3 linked regions of the Arabidopsis thaliana genome follow. The protein of the gene in region 2 interacts with the protein of the main gene of each other region in a pairwise test. Each region holds a gene or a part of one and is shown on either strand. Other genes may lie near its edges.

What was found. The genes of interacting proteins can lie anywhere in the genome.
Region 1: the proteins of CEV1 (region 2) and ACBP6 interact in a protein complementation assay, tested with the Arabidopsis thaliana proteins (one large-scale study listed by BioGRID).
Region 3: the proteins of CEV1 (region 2) and LCV1 interact in a two-hybrid assay, tested with the Arabidopsis thaliana proteins (one large-scale study listed by BioGRID).

Annotation. Positions count from the first base shown.
Region 1 is NC_003070.9:11,410,224-11,413,778, forward strand, and holds ACBP6 (acyl-CoA-binding protein 6), read right to left. Parts: upstream 2,011-3,555; 5' UTR 1,877-2,010; coding exon 1,865-1,876; intron 1,412-1,864; coding exon 1,294-1,411; intron 1,190-1,293; coding exon 1,127-1,189; intron 995-1,126; coding exon 909-994; 3' UTR 543-908; downstream 1-542. Other genes in the region: FRL2 (FRIGIDA like 2), read right to left, coding at 2,762-3,555. UniProt on the Arabidopsis thaliana protein: Binds medium- and long-chain acyl-CoA esters with very high affinity. May function as an intracellular carrier of acyl-CoA esters. Confers resistance to cold and freezing.
Region 2 is NC_003076.8:1,529,594-1,537,347, reverse strand, and holds CEV1 (Cellulose synthase family protein), read left to right. Parts: upstream 1-1,789; 5' UTR 1,790-2,100; intron 2,101-2,210; 5' UTR 2,211-2,257; coding exon 2,258-2,281; intron 2,282-2,453; coding exon 2,454-2,649; intron 2,650-2,767; coding exon 2,768-2,973; intron 2,974-3,066; coding exon 3,067-3,169; intron 3,170-3,281; coding exon 3,282-3,459; intron 3,460-3,567; coding exon 3,568-3,834; intron 3,835-3,934; coding exon 3,935-4,280; intron 4,281-4,360; coding exon 4,361-4,498; intron 4,499-4,586; coding exon 4,587-4,712; intron 4,713-4,793; coding exon 4,794-5,006; intron 5,007-5,132; coding exon 5,133-5,394; intron 5,395-5,557; coding exon 5,558-5,760; intron 5,761-5,856; coding exon 5,857-6,207; intron 6,208-6,362; coding exon 6,363-6,947; 3' UTR 6,948-7,216; downstream 7,217-7,754. Other genes in the region: AT5G05180 (myosin heavy chain, striated protein), read right to left, coding at 1-255, 352-424; RUL1 (Leucine-rich repeat protein kinase family protein), read right to left, coding at 7,331-7,754. UniProt on the Arabidopsis thaliana protein: Catalytic subunit of cellulose synthase terminal complexes ('rosettes'), required for beta-1,4-glucan microfibril crystallization, a major mechanism of the cell wall formation. Involved in the primary cell wall formation, especially in roots.
Region 3 is NC_003071.7:8,689,751-8,694,447, forward strand, and holds LCV1 (uncharacterized protein), read right to left. Parts: upstream 2,741-4,697; 5' UTR 2,485-2,740; coding exon 2,356-2,484; intron 2,008-2,355; coding exon 1,955-2,007; intron 1,879-1,954; coding exon 1,769-1,878; intron 1,687-1,768; coding exon 1,519-1,686; intron 1,430-1,518; coding exon 1,332-1,429; intron 1,191-1,331; coding exon 1,064-1,190; intron 950-1,063; coding exon 864-949; 3' UTR 543-863; downstream 1-542. Other genes in the region: RPT2b (AAA-type ATPase family protein), read left to right, coding at 2,986-3,459, 3,540-3,785, 4,188-4,357, 4,462-4,678.

The DNA of each region.
Region 1 (3,555 bases), on a different chromosome or scaffold from region 2:
TTGAATTAATTGTTGAATTATGGTTCACATCTTCAACATTATCTTCAAAAACCTCCTACAAAAATGTATATATAGATTAATTATTTCACTTATATTAAAATATATAAAAGAATTTGTTATGTTAAAGTGCATATACTATATATTTATATCGTTTAATTTTCAATTGAAAAACACAATGCATTTAATATAAAAATTCTAGATGTATAATTTTGATAAAGAGATTATCATAATACTAAATATTAGTATGTTCAACATACAATTAATTATTTTAATATTCTACAATATTATTTAATTTCTTGAATCACGGTTAAGAGATTATCATTAAGGGAAGGAAGTTAATCTACAATCAATAAAAAATAAAAGTAATTATGATCAACTCAATAAAAAAACTATTGTTTTTGTCATCTACCAAATTATAAACCTCAAATTTGTAGACACTTTAAAACTAAACGTCTATTTATTTACGAATTTGACTTTAAATAAACCACATACAATTTGAACAATTCTGCCAATGTTCGAGACGAAAAAAATAAATAAAAAATCTGCCACGTTCTTTTTTTTTCCAGCTTTTGTCTTATGTACTCCAAATTGAAATAAAACGAAAGTTTTCTAGTGAGTGGTGAATGCGATGGACCATGAAGAAAAAGACCTACGGACCAGAACGAATATATCATCTTGAATTCAACTGTTTTAACTAAGACCATATCGAGGACGGACCAAAAATAACTTATGGATTTAGTTTGCATCATGATTCTCTGTTTTAACCAATATCAAGCATTTTTAAGAGATCACACCATGTCACAAAGTAGATAGCTTAAATATGATAGAAACACAAGAGCAAGAACAAGTCTTATGCAATGTTATTTTGATGCTTAAGATAAAGTTACTGCAGATGAGGATTTGATTCATCAGGTTGAAGCCTTGGAAGCAGCAACTTCCAAGAGTTGCTTGACCTTAGTGATATAGTCATTCATGGCTTCTTCCGATGATTTCCCTGACATCATAAACAAAGAAAAGTTCAAATTCAATTCCCCAAGCACAAAAAATTGTTGAACTTGAGACAAGAATCCAAATTACAAACAAATCACTAAGCTAAAAAAGTTGATCACTTGAATTGTTTTTGTACCTTCAACAGCCTTCCAAGCATCCCACTTGGCTCTCTCCTTCATGCTGAACATTCCAGGACGACCTTTGAATCAATCAATAAACAAATACACATTATTAACAACATTACAGAAAAGTGAACTAAGAAGCAAAAATAGAGGATGTTAATATTCAGACAAAAATATTAACTGGTGTCCACAGGCCCAAACTTGGCTTGCTTGTAGAGTCCGTAGAGAATGAGCAAATCCTCGTTGGATGGCAACTCCGTGAGCGTATTCACTTTCTCAGCGTGCTCCTCAAATTCCTCCTGCAGATATATAAATCAGTGAAACAACAAATTCGAAGAAAAGATTCTTAATAGCCTAATACACCATCAAACATATTACTACTTAAAATTCTCAATCGGGATACAATAATCAAACAAAACTCAATAAAACCAAACCTAGCTCAGATTCAAAACTATATTACCCATCAGCAAACAGTGTTTAACAAATCAGTTATAAGAACAGTAAATGGACAAAATCATACAGAGAAAAAGCGTGATCAGTAATAATTCAATTCCATAAAGTGATCATTCTTGACTATACAAGCTTCAATTTCGTAACTATAAGGAACCTATATATCTGCAAATCTGGATCAAACAAGGCTACCAACACAGAAAATATAGAATTCAGGAATGGTGAACACAAACAAAACTAAGATCCGAGTAGTAATAAACCGAAACCGAGATCGGTTTGGTTCATTTTGGATCTGAACGTACCTTCAAACCCATGATGAATAGACGTCGGAAGTTGAGATTGGTAGGAGAATTAAATCAGTGTAAGACGGAGAAGACGAGGACAACGCGTGAGATATATATGGGCGTCATGATAAACCTCTCAGGCCCATAAGCCATAACTATTAAATATTTTCTTTAAAGGAAATAAATATTTTTAGAGATAGATACTGTATACGTGGATTCAGACACCCCGTTGATTGGCTTATTCTGATCAGTATGGGTACAACTGTAAAACAAAGAACATGTTCTGTTTTTTCTTTTTTTTGCTCATCGAACATGTTCCTTCTCCATTGAAATGACAATATTAATTTTCTGTTCCATCAGAAAAACCATAAGCATATCCTTTTGTAAACTTAAATAGTTTAATGAAAAAAAAACTATTTCTGTTTCTGTGCTAGTTGAATATTATCCTTTGGATCATTTTAGATATCCAGACACGTAGATTTCTTCCCACTACAACAAATCAAACCAAAAGGGATCTTTGGTGATTATAAGAAAAAAGGGAGGAAATCTTGGAAGATTACCTAACAAATCAAGGAATATAAATGTTAGATCAAAACCATAAAGACCATTCCTCCACAAGTAAACTAAACTAAATTAAAAAGAGGTTAAGGTTAGGTTATAAAACTGTACAATCAAGGCAAAATCCTCTATAGTCGCTTCACCAGGTAAACAAAAAAAGAAAAAACGGATCAATTTGCTCTTATGTTATCCCCCAAACAGCGACTATATCAAGTGTTATCTATGTCAAAACTCTCGAAATTTACTTGATATTCATTACTGAACATCAAAAACACATAGAGAGCATAGACCTGTTCGAGCAGAAATCTTCTCAATATCGCTTGCATTCCTATAATAAATCTTACCAATAGAGAGATGCTACTGAGGATAGTACGGTGGGCGGTACTGAGGTGGTGGCATCCCATAACCAGTTTGCTGCACATAAAAGACGGGTCGAGAAGCTGGAGCTGGAACCGAGCCAAATAGAGCCCTTGGGTTGCCATATGGGACAGCAACACCAGGAAGTATTGAGCTTAAAAGACCATATGGGTTCACTTGTAAAATCTGACTAGGAGTAGGCAAAAGTGGTGGTTGTTGTTGCGGCCTCAGAGGTGGGATTGTCAAATTATATTCCATACTTGAACCATTAGCAACTCGAGGACGCTTATTATCGACCTTTTGTTCTTGTGGTTGTTGGGGATTAGCAGGTGAATTGAACTTAGTGGCACGCTTCCTCTGAGCTTTCTGATCCTCCAACTCCTTAACACATTCTTCGAGTTTCTCTTCCATGAACTCGGACTCGATGTTTTTCTCTTTCACGACTTTGATAACTGCTCTCAAAGCACTTAGTTCTTTATCAGTAGCTTCGTTCTGCACCTTAAGAGAGTAATTCCCTTCAGCACAAACTCTCTTAGCAGCTTCTCTAGAGTTCTTCAAACTAGTTTTCAAAATCGAAACTGGTTCAAATTCACCCACCATCTCATTCTCGTAAATGAATCTAATAGCAACAAGTAATCTCCCAGTATCCAAAAACTTCTGAACGAGAACTCCTATTCGATTTCTATCTAAACCAATCTTCTTGCAGATCGTTGTTGCTTGTTTATACTTAGAGATCAAGAAAATGTAATCACAAATCTCCTCAGTACTAAATAAAGACCCTAATTCAAAAGCTG
Region 2 (7,754 bases):
CTTCACACTGGACATATTTCTTCATCAATTCTTCATAACTCATTTGTTTCTCCGGGGATAAGTCATGGCTATCCATTGACCCTGGTGATACGAGGTGATGGTTAAAAGATGAGTAAAAGGCCTCCGTGTCCGAATCTAAATCGGAATAAGAAGAGTTAGAATCATGATTGCCAGAAACATCAGAACTTCCTTGGTCAAAGTTGGAAGCTACTGTATCAGACTTTGGAGTTACAGGAGGTGAAGATCCATTGTGATCTGAAACTTGACAATTGATATGTCTAATAAGATTTCTACGTTTGAACGGAAACGCACACAACCAAAATAAGACATGAATGAATTATACGGTTATACCTGTTGAGATGTCCACAAAGGAATTCGAATTATGTGGCCACTCATCTGGGACCTCAACTGTTGTAAAATCCATTACACTTAAACAACAAAAAGCGAATCAACTTAAAAATGATCAAGCAAAAAAAAATCAAAGAAACGTAAACATAGAATGATGTAACAGAAAAACCCTAAAAATACAGAAGATATACGAGATATAAAAACTGGTAAGATTTTTATTTACTTTTTTTTTTTTTATACTCCTAAGATTTAGCTATAACTAAACGTATTTATATTTTTTGACCAAAAAAAAAAAAAACGTATTTATATTTATCTCTACAATAATTTCGATTAAAAATATCTAACAAAAAAAAAAGTTGTGATAATAATCAGTGGAAAACTATCATGAAGAGACAAGCTAATGTTCTTTAATTGAAATCTTAGAAAATAAAAAAACTAGGGTTGCGTAAATTTTAAGACTTTCTTATGTCACAGAACTGAACTTTTTTCACTACATGTAAACAGAAATTATAACTCATTTGCAACGGTGAAGAAACATAGACAAAGACCCTCCATAAATCTCAGAAAAACAGAGCAAGTAACTCAGATCATAAGATCTACAAAACACATCAACGGAACAAACAAATATCAAACCCTGAAATCTGATTCACATAGGACCAAATAAACATGAGATTTCACTGACCTTGAAAATTGATATGATCGAGGGAACAAAAGAGCAGATTTACAGGAAAAGTGAAGGAGAAACAAAGGAAGGTTTAAGTAGAGGATTGCTAGGGTACGAGAGTTACGAAGCAGAAGGTGGAAAGGTTTAAAGGGACGACAAAGAGGAGGGAAGATTTGTCGGATAGCGAAGAGAAAGTGGCGCTCTTTGGGATTCAAATGTTTGCCATTTTCTTCTTTTGTCTATCTGACAGTCTGTTCTTTGCTGCACTAGTGGCCACACATCTCCACATGCACCACCAGTTATCAAAGTTTGACCTATTAATTATTGGGTTCGGTTCGATTCAATTTTCTCTCGTAAATAACGTAAACCGAACATATACCAATTTTGTCTGCAAAGTCCAACAAACCCATTTTCTCGATTCTGTTGGGCTTGATGATACTAGAGTTGGACCTTTATTTTTTCAGCCCGCTGGTTTTAGCCTATTTTGATATACTAGTAAGTAAAGCATCACTATCAATATATTTTGATTTATTCATTGGACTAATCCGTTGATTAATTAATATTTTGAAGTTTTATTTTTGTCGGCAAATACTTTTTAAGTTTTATCTGTAAGAAAGTTAGTGACGATGAATATCCTTTACCCCACTACTTGTGATTTGTTGTGTTCTTCACACTTCTATTTTAGTTATATCACTATCAAATATCAATTACTATTTTGATTTAGTCACTAATTCGATGATAATATATTTCTAAGGATATTTTAAAGGTTTATCGGCCGTTTTTTCACTTTTTTTACAGCCACTGTAAAACTGTAACTAGAAAAAAATCGACTGTGGAAGTTGTCGGTGGTGGTGGTGGTTGTTGCTTGGTTGGATTATGATTTGTGACAAATATATTAATATTTTAAAAATCTGGAAGAGTGACGAGTAGAGGAGACAAATAGCTTGCTCTTTGCATCTTCTTAGCCATCCCAAGATTCTCCTCTTCGTCTTCCTTATAAACTATCTCTCTGTAGAGAAGAAAGCTTGGATCCAGATTGAGAGAGATTCAGAGAGTCACATCACCACACTCCATCTTCAGATCTCATGGTAAAGCTTTTAACTCTTCTTACACTCATGATCCATTCTCAGATTTGACTTCCTTTACTCGGATCTCCTCAGATCTAATCGTAGTTTCTGTTTTTGATAATTCCGATCAGATTTGAACTATTCCGACGTTTCGGTGTTGGAAGCAACTAAGTGACAAATGGAATCCGAAGGAGAAACCGCGGTATGCTTTTTTGACTCTTGCTTCATCATTATACTTACCTTTATCGAAATCAGGAATTATATGTACTGAAATTGATTGATTTGGGTGTTGAATTGTGTATTGGAGAGATCTGATTTCAAATTTTCTGTTGAGGTTTCTAATTTTGGCTTCATTGATTCGACTTGATTTGTAGGGAAAGCCGATGAAGAACATTGTTCCGCAGACTTGCCAGATCTGTAGTGACAATGTTGGCAAGACTGTTGATGGAGATCGTTTTGTGGCTTGTGATATTTGTTCATTCCCAGTTTGTCGGCCTTGCTACGAGTATGAGAGGAAAGATGGGAATCAATCTTGTCCTCAGTGCAAAACCAGATACAAGAGGCTCAAAGGTTCTCTTTTGATCCTTCTGAAGTATACTGTCTTCATTGTTCATCGATAGTTTATCAGTATGTTTTGAATTTTGGATCAGATTGGTATTTATAGCAATTTGCTAATTTCTGATTCTAGGTAGTCCTGCTATTCCTGGTGATAAAGACGAGGATGGCTTAGCTGATGAAGGTACTGTTGAGTTCAACTACCCTCAGAAGGAGAAAATTTCAGAGCGGATGCTTGGTTGGCATCTTACTCGTGGGAAGGGAGAGGAAATGGGGGAACCCCAGTATGATAAAGAGGTCTCTCACAATCATCTTCCTCGTCTCACGAGCAGACAAGATGTAAGGCATTGCTGTTCATTCTTCCCTCTTAAGCATTCGCATCCTCACGCAATTTAGTTTTGGAATCTGATTTTGTCATTTGCTTATTTACAGACTTCAGGAGAGTTTTCTGCTGCCTCACCTGAACGCCTCTCTGTATCTTCTACTATCGCTGGGGGAAAGCGCCTTCCCTATTCATCAGATGTCAATCAATCACGTAAATATCCTTTATTTCTAACTCTCTCGCCAACACATATATTTGTACCTAGGCTTCTCTTTTATGTCAAAACTCTAAACAATAAAATCTGTTGTTGTCATTCACGCTGCAGCAAATAGAAGGATTGTGGATCCTGTTGGACTCGGGAATGTAGCTTGGAAGGAGAGAGTTGATGGCTGGAAAATGAAGCAAGAGAAGAATACTGGTCCTGTCAGCACGCAGGCTGCTTCTGAAAGAGGTGGAGTAGATATTGATGCCAGCACAGATATCCTAGCAGATGAGGCTCTGCTGTGAGTTCTTGTTTTGTAATCTTGTTTGTTCTGTCGTGGTGTACCGAGCGTTTTTCCTATTAAGCAATGTCCTGATACTCATTTTCCAATTCTTTATTTATTGTACAGGAATGACGAAGCGAGGCAGCCTCTGTCAAGGAAAGTTTCAATTCCTTCATCACGGATCAATCCTTACAGAATGGTTATTATGCTGCGGCTTGTTATCCTTTGTCTCTTCTTGCATTACCGTATAACAAACCCAGTGCCAAATGCCTTTGCTCTATGGCTGGTCTCTGTGATATGTGAGATCTGGTTTGCCTTATCCTGGATTTTGGATCAGTTTCCCAAGTGGTTTCCTGTGAACCGTGAAACCTACCTCGACAGGCTTGCTTTAAGGTAAGTTCTATTTCCCCATTCTTCTGAAGCAATTACTCAAAGGATTGTTTGCCTATACTGTTTCCCATTTTAATTTGATCATGGTCAATTTTTGGGACAGATATGATCGTGAAGGTGAGCCATCACAGTTAGCTGCTGTTGACATTTTCGTGAGTACTGTTGACCCCTTGAAGGAGCCACCCCTTGTGACAGCCAACACAGTGCTCTCTATTCTGGCTGTTGACTACCCAGTTGACAAGGTGTCCTGTTATGTTTCTGATGATGGTGCTGCTATGTTATCATTTGAATCACTTGCAGAAACATCAGAGTTTGCTCGTAAATGGGTACCATTTTGCAAGAAATATAGCATAGAGCCTCGTGCACCAGAATGGTACTTTGCTGCGAAAATAGATTACTTGAAGGATAAAGTTCAGACATCATTTGTCAAAGATCGTAGAGCTATGAAGGTAAGTTTGTAGTTTTAGTCATCTAGTCACCCTCACTTTGATTTTAGTGTATGCTATATTGACCTTTTATTTTCTTTCAGAGGGAATATGAGGAATTTAAAATCCGAATCAATGCACTTGTTTCCAAAGCCCTAAAATGTCCTGAAGAAGGGTGGGTTATGCAAGATGGCACACCGTGGCCTGGAAATAATACAAGGGACCATCCAGGAATGATCCAGGTAAGAAATTGGTTTTAACTATGGAATCGAGAATGCTCTCTCTTTCTCTCTAGAAGTTCATTATTGAAGTACCATTTGCTGAATGCAGGTCTTCTTAGGGCAAAATGGTGGACTTGATGCAGAGGGCAATGAGCTCCCGCGTTTGGTATATGTTTCTCGAGAAAAGCGACCAGGATTCCAGCACCACAAAAAGGCTGGTGCTATGAATGCACTGGTAAGTTTCTGATCTTGGATTTTTGACTTCTTCATTCTGACCAATTTGTTAGTCTAATCTGGGTACTTTTCAAATGAATAGGTGAGAGTTTCAGCAGTTCTTACCAATGGACCTTTCATCTTGAATCTTGATTGTGATCATTACATAAATAACAGCAAAGCCTTAAGAGAAGCAATGTGCTTCCTGATGGACCCAAACCTCGGGAAGCAAGTTTGTTATGTTCAGTTCCCACAAAGATTTGATGGTATCGATAAGAACGATAGATATGCTAATCGTAATACCGTGTTCTTTGATGTAAGTCACACTTACCTATACTTGCGTCTAATTTTCTTGTTCTTTCAAATTGCTTTTAGACACGAATATACATTAAACTCACAGTTTCTTGAGTTTGTCGTAATTTTTCCATGATATGTTTTCCAGATTAACTTGAGAGGTTTAGATGGGATTCAAGGACCTGTATATGTCGGAACTGGATGTGTTTTCAACAGAACAGCATTATACGGTTATGAACCTCCAATAAAAGTAAAACACAAGAAGCCAAGTCTTTTATCTAAGCTCTGTGGTGGATCAAGAAAGAAGAATTCCAAAGCTAAGAAAGAGTCGGACAAAAAGAAATCAGGCAGGCATACTGACTCAACTGTTCCTGTATTCAACCTCGATGACATAGAAGAGGGAGTTGAAGGTACAACTGTTTTTATTTCTTCTTTGGTTTCCGTTATACCCATATGTTGCTGTTTGAAATATTGATCCAGGGGAGGGGATTATTTATAGTTGACAGTTGTCTAAATAGTTTCCATACTAGGTATCTCATCATGTCTTAACTATTTGGCATTTGTGAAACTTAGGTGCTGGTTTTGATGATGAAAAGGCGCTCTTAATGTCGCAAATGAGCCTGGAGAAGCGATTTGGACAGTCTGCTGTTTTTGTTGCTTCTACCCTAATGGAAAATGGTGGTGTTCCTCCTTCAGCAACTCCAGAAAACCTTCTCAAAGAGGCTATCCATGTCATTAGTTGTGGTTATGAGGATAAGTCAGATTGGGGAATGGAGGTATAATCTCATTTGAACTCCTACATGAATCTGCATTGTTCTGACATATCCACTTTGGCATTCACTTTGTTTATATTTTCCGCTGTCTTTCTTCAGATTGGATGGATCTATGGTTCTGTGACAGAAGATATTCTGACTGGGTTCAAAATGCATGCCCGTGGATGGCGATCCATTTACTGCATGCCTAAGCTTCCAGCTTTCAAGGGTTCTGCTCCTATCAATCTTTCAGATCGTCTGAACCAAGTGCTGAGGTGGGCTTTAGGTTCAGTTGAGATTCTCTTCAGTCGGCATTGTCCTATATGGTATGGTTACAATGGGAGGCTAAAATTTCTTGAGAGGTTTGCGTATGTGAACACCACCATCTACCCTATCACCTCCATTCCTCTTCTCATGTATTGTACATTGCCAGCCGTTTGTCTCTTCACCAACCAGTTTATTATTCCTCAGGTTTGACACCTCTCTCTGTCTATCTATCTCTATCTCTATCTCTATCTCTAGAACAAACCTTAATTACGTTCTGTTTAACTGAAACCATGTTGTGTTTGTCATCTATTTACGGTTCCAAATCCTGATCAGCTGGTTCTATTGTTCCTCTTTTGCAGATTAGTAACATTGCAAGTATATGGTTTCTGTCTCTCTTTCTCTCCATTTTCGCCACGGGTATACTAGAAATGAGGTGGAGTGGCGTAGGCATAGACGAATGGTGGAGAAACGAGCAGTTTTGGGTCATTGGTGGAGTATCCGCTCATTTATTCGCTGTGTTTCAAGGTATCCTCAAAGTCCTTGCCGGTATTGACACAAACTTCACAGTTACCTCAAAAGCTTCAGATGAAGACGGAGACTTTGCTGAGCTCTACTTGTTCAAATGGACAACACTTCTGATTCCGCCAACGACGCTGCTCATTGTAAACTTAGTGGGAGTTGTTGCAGGAGTCTCTTATGCTATCAACAGTGGATACCAATCATGGGGACCACTCTTTGGTAAGTTGTTCTTTGCCTTCTGGGTGATTGTTCACTTGTACCCTTTCCTCAAGGGTTTGATGGGTCGACAGAACCGGACTCCTACCATTGTTGTGGTCTGGTCTGTTCTCTTGGCTTCTATCTTCTCGTTGTTGTGGGTTAGGATTGATCCCTTCACTAGCCGAGTCACTGGCCCGGACATTCTGGAATGTGGAATCAACTGTTGAGAAGCGAGCAAATATTTACCTGTTTTGAGGGTTAAAAAAAACACAGAATTTAAATTATTTTTCATTGTTTTATTTGTTCACTTTTTTACTTTTGTTGTGTGTATCTGTCTGTTCGTTCTTCTGTCTTGGTGTCATAAATTTATGTGTAGAATATATCTTACTCTAGTTACTTTGGAAAGTTATAATTAAAGTGAAAGCGAATATTTTTTTGTTTCTGTAGTTAAAGCAGTGGTTATGATTTTTCAATTTTCATTAGTGAAAGCAGTTACGTTTGATCATAAGCACTAAACTACGATGCAAAGAGAAATTATTTTTAACTGGGATTCAAAAGTAATAAGATAGAAGTAGAATTGATCAAAGAAACTTTTGGTCGGAATGAGGAATCATTCAGAGACATTGGAAGTAGCCTCTGAGGATGTTCTGTTTTGCTGTAACTGCTGAGACTGATCCAATCTCCTCACATCTTCAATCATCCTCGCGACCTCTTCCATCTTTGGCCTCGATTCTGGATTCCTTGCAACACAGGCCAACGCTAGCTGAAGCATCTGAACCATCTCCTCTTCAATGTTCTGAAACTTCAAGAGCTCCACATCGAAAACCTCTGCAGTCCACTCTTCTCTCACAACAGACCGAACCCATCTCGGAAGATCAATGACGACACGCTCATCCTCGAGACCAGGCTGAGTTAAAGGTGTCTTCCCGGTTAGCATTTCGAGAATCACCACACCAAAGCTATAAACGTCTGATCTTTGACTGACTCTCCTCGTCTCAATAACTTCAGGAGCATTGTAGCCAATGGTTCGCGGT
Region 3 (4,697 bases), on a different chromosome or scaffold from region 2:
CATATTTAAGCAAAAAATAACTAATTATAGTATATGTTTTAAATGATTTATACTGTAATATTTATTATTGTCATTTTTGTTTGTTACATACGTCTTCGAATTATCACATTAAAAGAGAAAATTATTCTAACGATTATATATTTTCCCAAGACTGCACCCAATGTTAAATCTGATATGGAAAATAATTTTCTTACAACTTTCAGATTTATTTTAAATATAAAAGTTAAGCAAAAACTATAATATATATATATTTGAGATTTCTATATGAGATAAAGTTCTAAAATAAATTAAAGTTTACAAAGGCAGAGAAATGAAGATTCATAATTAGGTCAGGTGCTAAGCACAATCCTCCTCTAAGAAAATTTTGGTCGATACATTTTTAGCTGCAGTATTTTATTTCACCATAAGAATTAGTAACATGTTGGAAACAAAACGTACCTGAGATCAAAAGAAGAGCTAGACAGAGAAATGTTAGACCATTTTTTTCTTCGATCAACAATGTCTCTCTATATATACCACATTTTATACTATTCCCTAATATGTAAAACGATATTGCCATTTGTCATGTGATTATTATTAGGGTGGGATTATCTTTGATTATCTTTTTGTTATAAAGTCAATGCGACAGTAATATGAAAGACACAAGGACGCGGATACAAATTATAATCTATAAGAAAAGAAAAAAAATTATTTTTAAAAGGGCTAAAAGAAAACAAGGTTATTCAAATAATATTGACAAATTACACTTCTCGACAAATTTTTCTGTGTTTTTTGGTTTCTCTATTCGCTCAGATTTTGTGAAACGTCTCTTCTGATTTTTTATTTTTTCCTATCGATCGGCCAAAGGTTTTTGAATAGTCACTTTAAGATTCATTTCCAATCGAGGCCAAAGGTTTATCAAGAGTCGATAGAATCTGCGGCATTGACATTCCCCCGGAAACAACAATCTCTGCAGATGAAGAATGAGTATACAGTGTTCAGTATCTTTCCACAAAATAATTTGAATGCTATATAACAAACGATAAATGTATCTAGTATAGACAATTAGATTCTGAAATCTCACCAATTCCTTCCCGGACAGAGAGGTTTGGCCTGATAACGTCATTACTGTTGACAAGTAGTATATCTCCAATGTAAAGGTGGTTCGTGGGAACGTATACACAGCAAAGTTCCTCCTCGGTTGGGTAGTTCTGCAAGAACGAATAGCATTATTACATTGGGTAAAAAGATTACGAAATTATGGTAAACCATATAACTCGAAATTGTTTGTATCCTCAAGGAGACGTTCTGGAAAGAATAACAAAATCCTTGAGCAAAGTATTTTCACTCACCTGGAGAACAACAGTTGATGTAATGAAGCCAAATGCATATTCACCTACACGGGGATGCCTGATGATTGCAACTTCCTTGAAAGCTTGTGTATTTTGATCTGTGATGAGAAATGGATAAGAACAAGATGAGATAGGAGATCAACTTAATGTTGAGAAGCAAAACAAGATTTTTATAAGCAAGCTAGACCAGGCGATATGGCAGTGCTGATTTGCTTGGAGGCGTTGTAGATGTGACGAACAAATGGCATCCGCTTGATAAACCACTCTCCCAAGTTCAGAACCGATGCCCCCAACCACGAAGACATGAACACCCCAACCAAGAAGATGAATGCAATGGAAGTCAAAAAACCGAAACCTACAAAACAATAATCAAACTCATTGTGGGAAACCGATATCAAGTTGTTAATAGGATAAAGAGGGGCCATTCAAATTCTTACCAAATATGTTGATTCCAAGTAGTGCATATATTGGAGAGAAGAATCCATCGACAAAGTGAATAAACCACCATGTTGTATAGAAAGTAACTGCAATAGGAAGTAGGATAACACTGCAAAAAGCAATGGAGACTTAAAACTAATCTGTGGAAGTTTTCATCAAATGCCAAAATTTCAACTCTTCCTTACCAGCCTGTCATGAACTTCTTTGACGCCCAACCCCTAATGAACAAGCTTAAAGTCTGCAGAAAAGAGCTAAAGCATCAGGCCACAATGCTCTATAAGTTATACATGCTTGAAAACATGAATGAGCATAATACAAAGACTCAAGAATCTGAATGATTCCAACCACAACAACTTGGAATGCAAATTCATACTCTACTCAATCACAACTACCAAACTTATCTAAGCAAGTGTTCTTGTGATATACTGAATCTAGGGCAAAACAAGTTCCAAGATTTTGAACTAAGGGGAGACAGAATCGACCAAATCTATGAATAACTATCATCCAATTCTACTGTTAGTTTCGCATGAATCTTGAAATGAGAAAACGAAGAACACGTTTTTAGATCAGGTGACAAAAACTAGACCTCGTGGCCGGATTGATGCGAAGAAGAAGCAGAGGAAGAAGAAGAAGGCTTCGAAGAAGAACCATCGTCTTTGTCGCCGAAATCAGCGACGGGAATCAGAAGCTCTCGATCTCTTTCTCGATTGGCCATAACAATTGTCGTGTAAAGAGAGATAAAACCCTAAACCTAGAAACTCACCGAGAGTTCGAAGATTGTAAATCACAATCTAGAAGCTAGTTGCGAAACAGAAGAACCACCTCGAAGATCCTGAGATTTGATGATGATGATTGTGATGATGATGAATGACAGATAGAGAAGACGATGAAATTGATTTTTGATTCGATTTCCCCAAATGGCAAAAGAAAAGTTCCTTACCTGTACCGATTGACCGTACCAACTACCAAACCAACGAATTGACTTTTACAAAACTTAAACCGAAATTAAAGATAATTAAACCGAGTTATTGAACTAAACCAGATAATAGCTTAGGTTGAATCAGTTTTAAAAAAATTTGCGATACCTAAGGCCCACTAAGTTTTTCACATCGTAAAAAGGCCTAAAATAATAAGCCCACTTTAATCATCTCCTCCCGTTATCAGATTAAAAGATTTGTTTCTCCGAGAGCAAGAAACCTCAGAGAGACGAAGCACAATGGGTCAAGGACCTTCCGGCGGATTGAATCGGCAAGGAGATCGGAAACCAGATGGTGGAGAGAAGAAGGAGAAGAAGTTCGAACCAGCCGCACCACCTGCTCGTGTAGGGAGGAAGCAACGGAAGCAGAAAGGACCTGAAGCGGCGGCGAGATTGCCGACGGTGACTCCTTCTACTAAATGTAAGCTTCGATTGCTGAAATTGGAGCGAATCAAGGACTATTTGCTTATGGAGGAAGAGTTCGTAGCGAATCAGGAGAGATTGAAACCTCAGGAAGAGAAAGCTGAGGAAGATAGATCTAAAGTTGATGATCTTCGTGGTACACCTATGAGTGTTGGCAATCTTGAAGAGCTTATTGATGAGAATCACGCCATTGTTTCTTCTTCGGTTGGTCCTGAGTACTACGTTGGCATTTTGTCTTTCGTTGATAAGGATCAGCTTGAACCTGGCTGCTCTATTTTGATGCATAACAAGGTATTGAGTTTTACAATGCTCTTCCATGGAAACGTTGAACCAATTCTTCTATGTGATATTTTTTATTATTTTTGTGATAGGTACTCTCTGTTGTTGGGATTCTTCAAGATGAAGTGGATCCAATGGTGTCTGTGATGAAAGTGGAGAAGGCTCCTTTGGAGTCATATGCTGACATTGGAGGTTTAGAAGCTCAGATTCAGGAGATTAAGGAAGCTGTTGAGTTACCTTTAACACATCCCGAGCTGTATGAAGATATTGGAATTAAGCCACCAAAAGGTGTGATCTTGTATGGTGAGCCAGGCACTGGGAAGACATTGCTTGCTAAGGTTCGTCTTTTAGCCTATAGTGTATCCATTATATAATAAGCTTTCTAGTTGTTAATTGCTTAATACAGCACATAATGGTACTTCCCAAGTATGATTGGTTTTATGTCAAGTCATGCATGCAAAATTTTCTGTCTTTTATCAATCTTCACTAGAAAGATGAATTAGTCAGGACAGTGGCTTCTTTGGTTTGATCACCTAGAATTGAGATATTAGATCATAGTACTTGTGTAGATAGAGGAAGATTTTCAGAGTCACGTGGATTGATTTAATGTCTTCGTTTTCTTTTTGTCTATGTCGCAAGCATGGATTGTTGCAGTGTGCCTCTTTTTAATGTGTCTCTTATGCTTGTTAAATTCGGAACTGTTGGAGATGAGCAAGTGTTATTTCTTGTTATTCTTTCAGGCAGTGGCAAATTCTACTTCAGCTACTTTCTTGCGTGTTGTCGGTAGTGAACTGATTCAGAAGTATTTAGGAGATGGTCCCAAGCTTGTGAGGGAACTTTTCAGGGTTGCTGATGACCTTTCTCCTTCTATTGTTTTCATAGACGAGATTGATGCTGTTGGCACCAAGCGGTATGCCTAAATACAACATAAACATGATCCATTGATAAACAATGTTCTTGATTTTGCTCAAGAGATGGTATCTAATATGTGATATAAAATGGTGGTTGAAACAGGTATGACGCAAACTCAGGTGGGGAACGTGAAATCCAAAGAACCATGTTGGAACTACTGAACCAGCTTGATGGGTTTGATTCAAGAGGAGATGTTAAGGTTATTCTCGCGACAAACAGGATCGAGAGTCTTGACCCGGCACTTCTTAGACCAGGCCGGATCGACAGGAAAATCGAATTCCCTCTTCCAGATATCAAAACAAGAAGACGTATCTTCCAGGTTCCACAACTGGTGATCC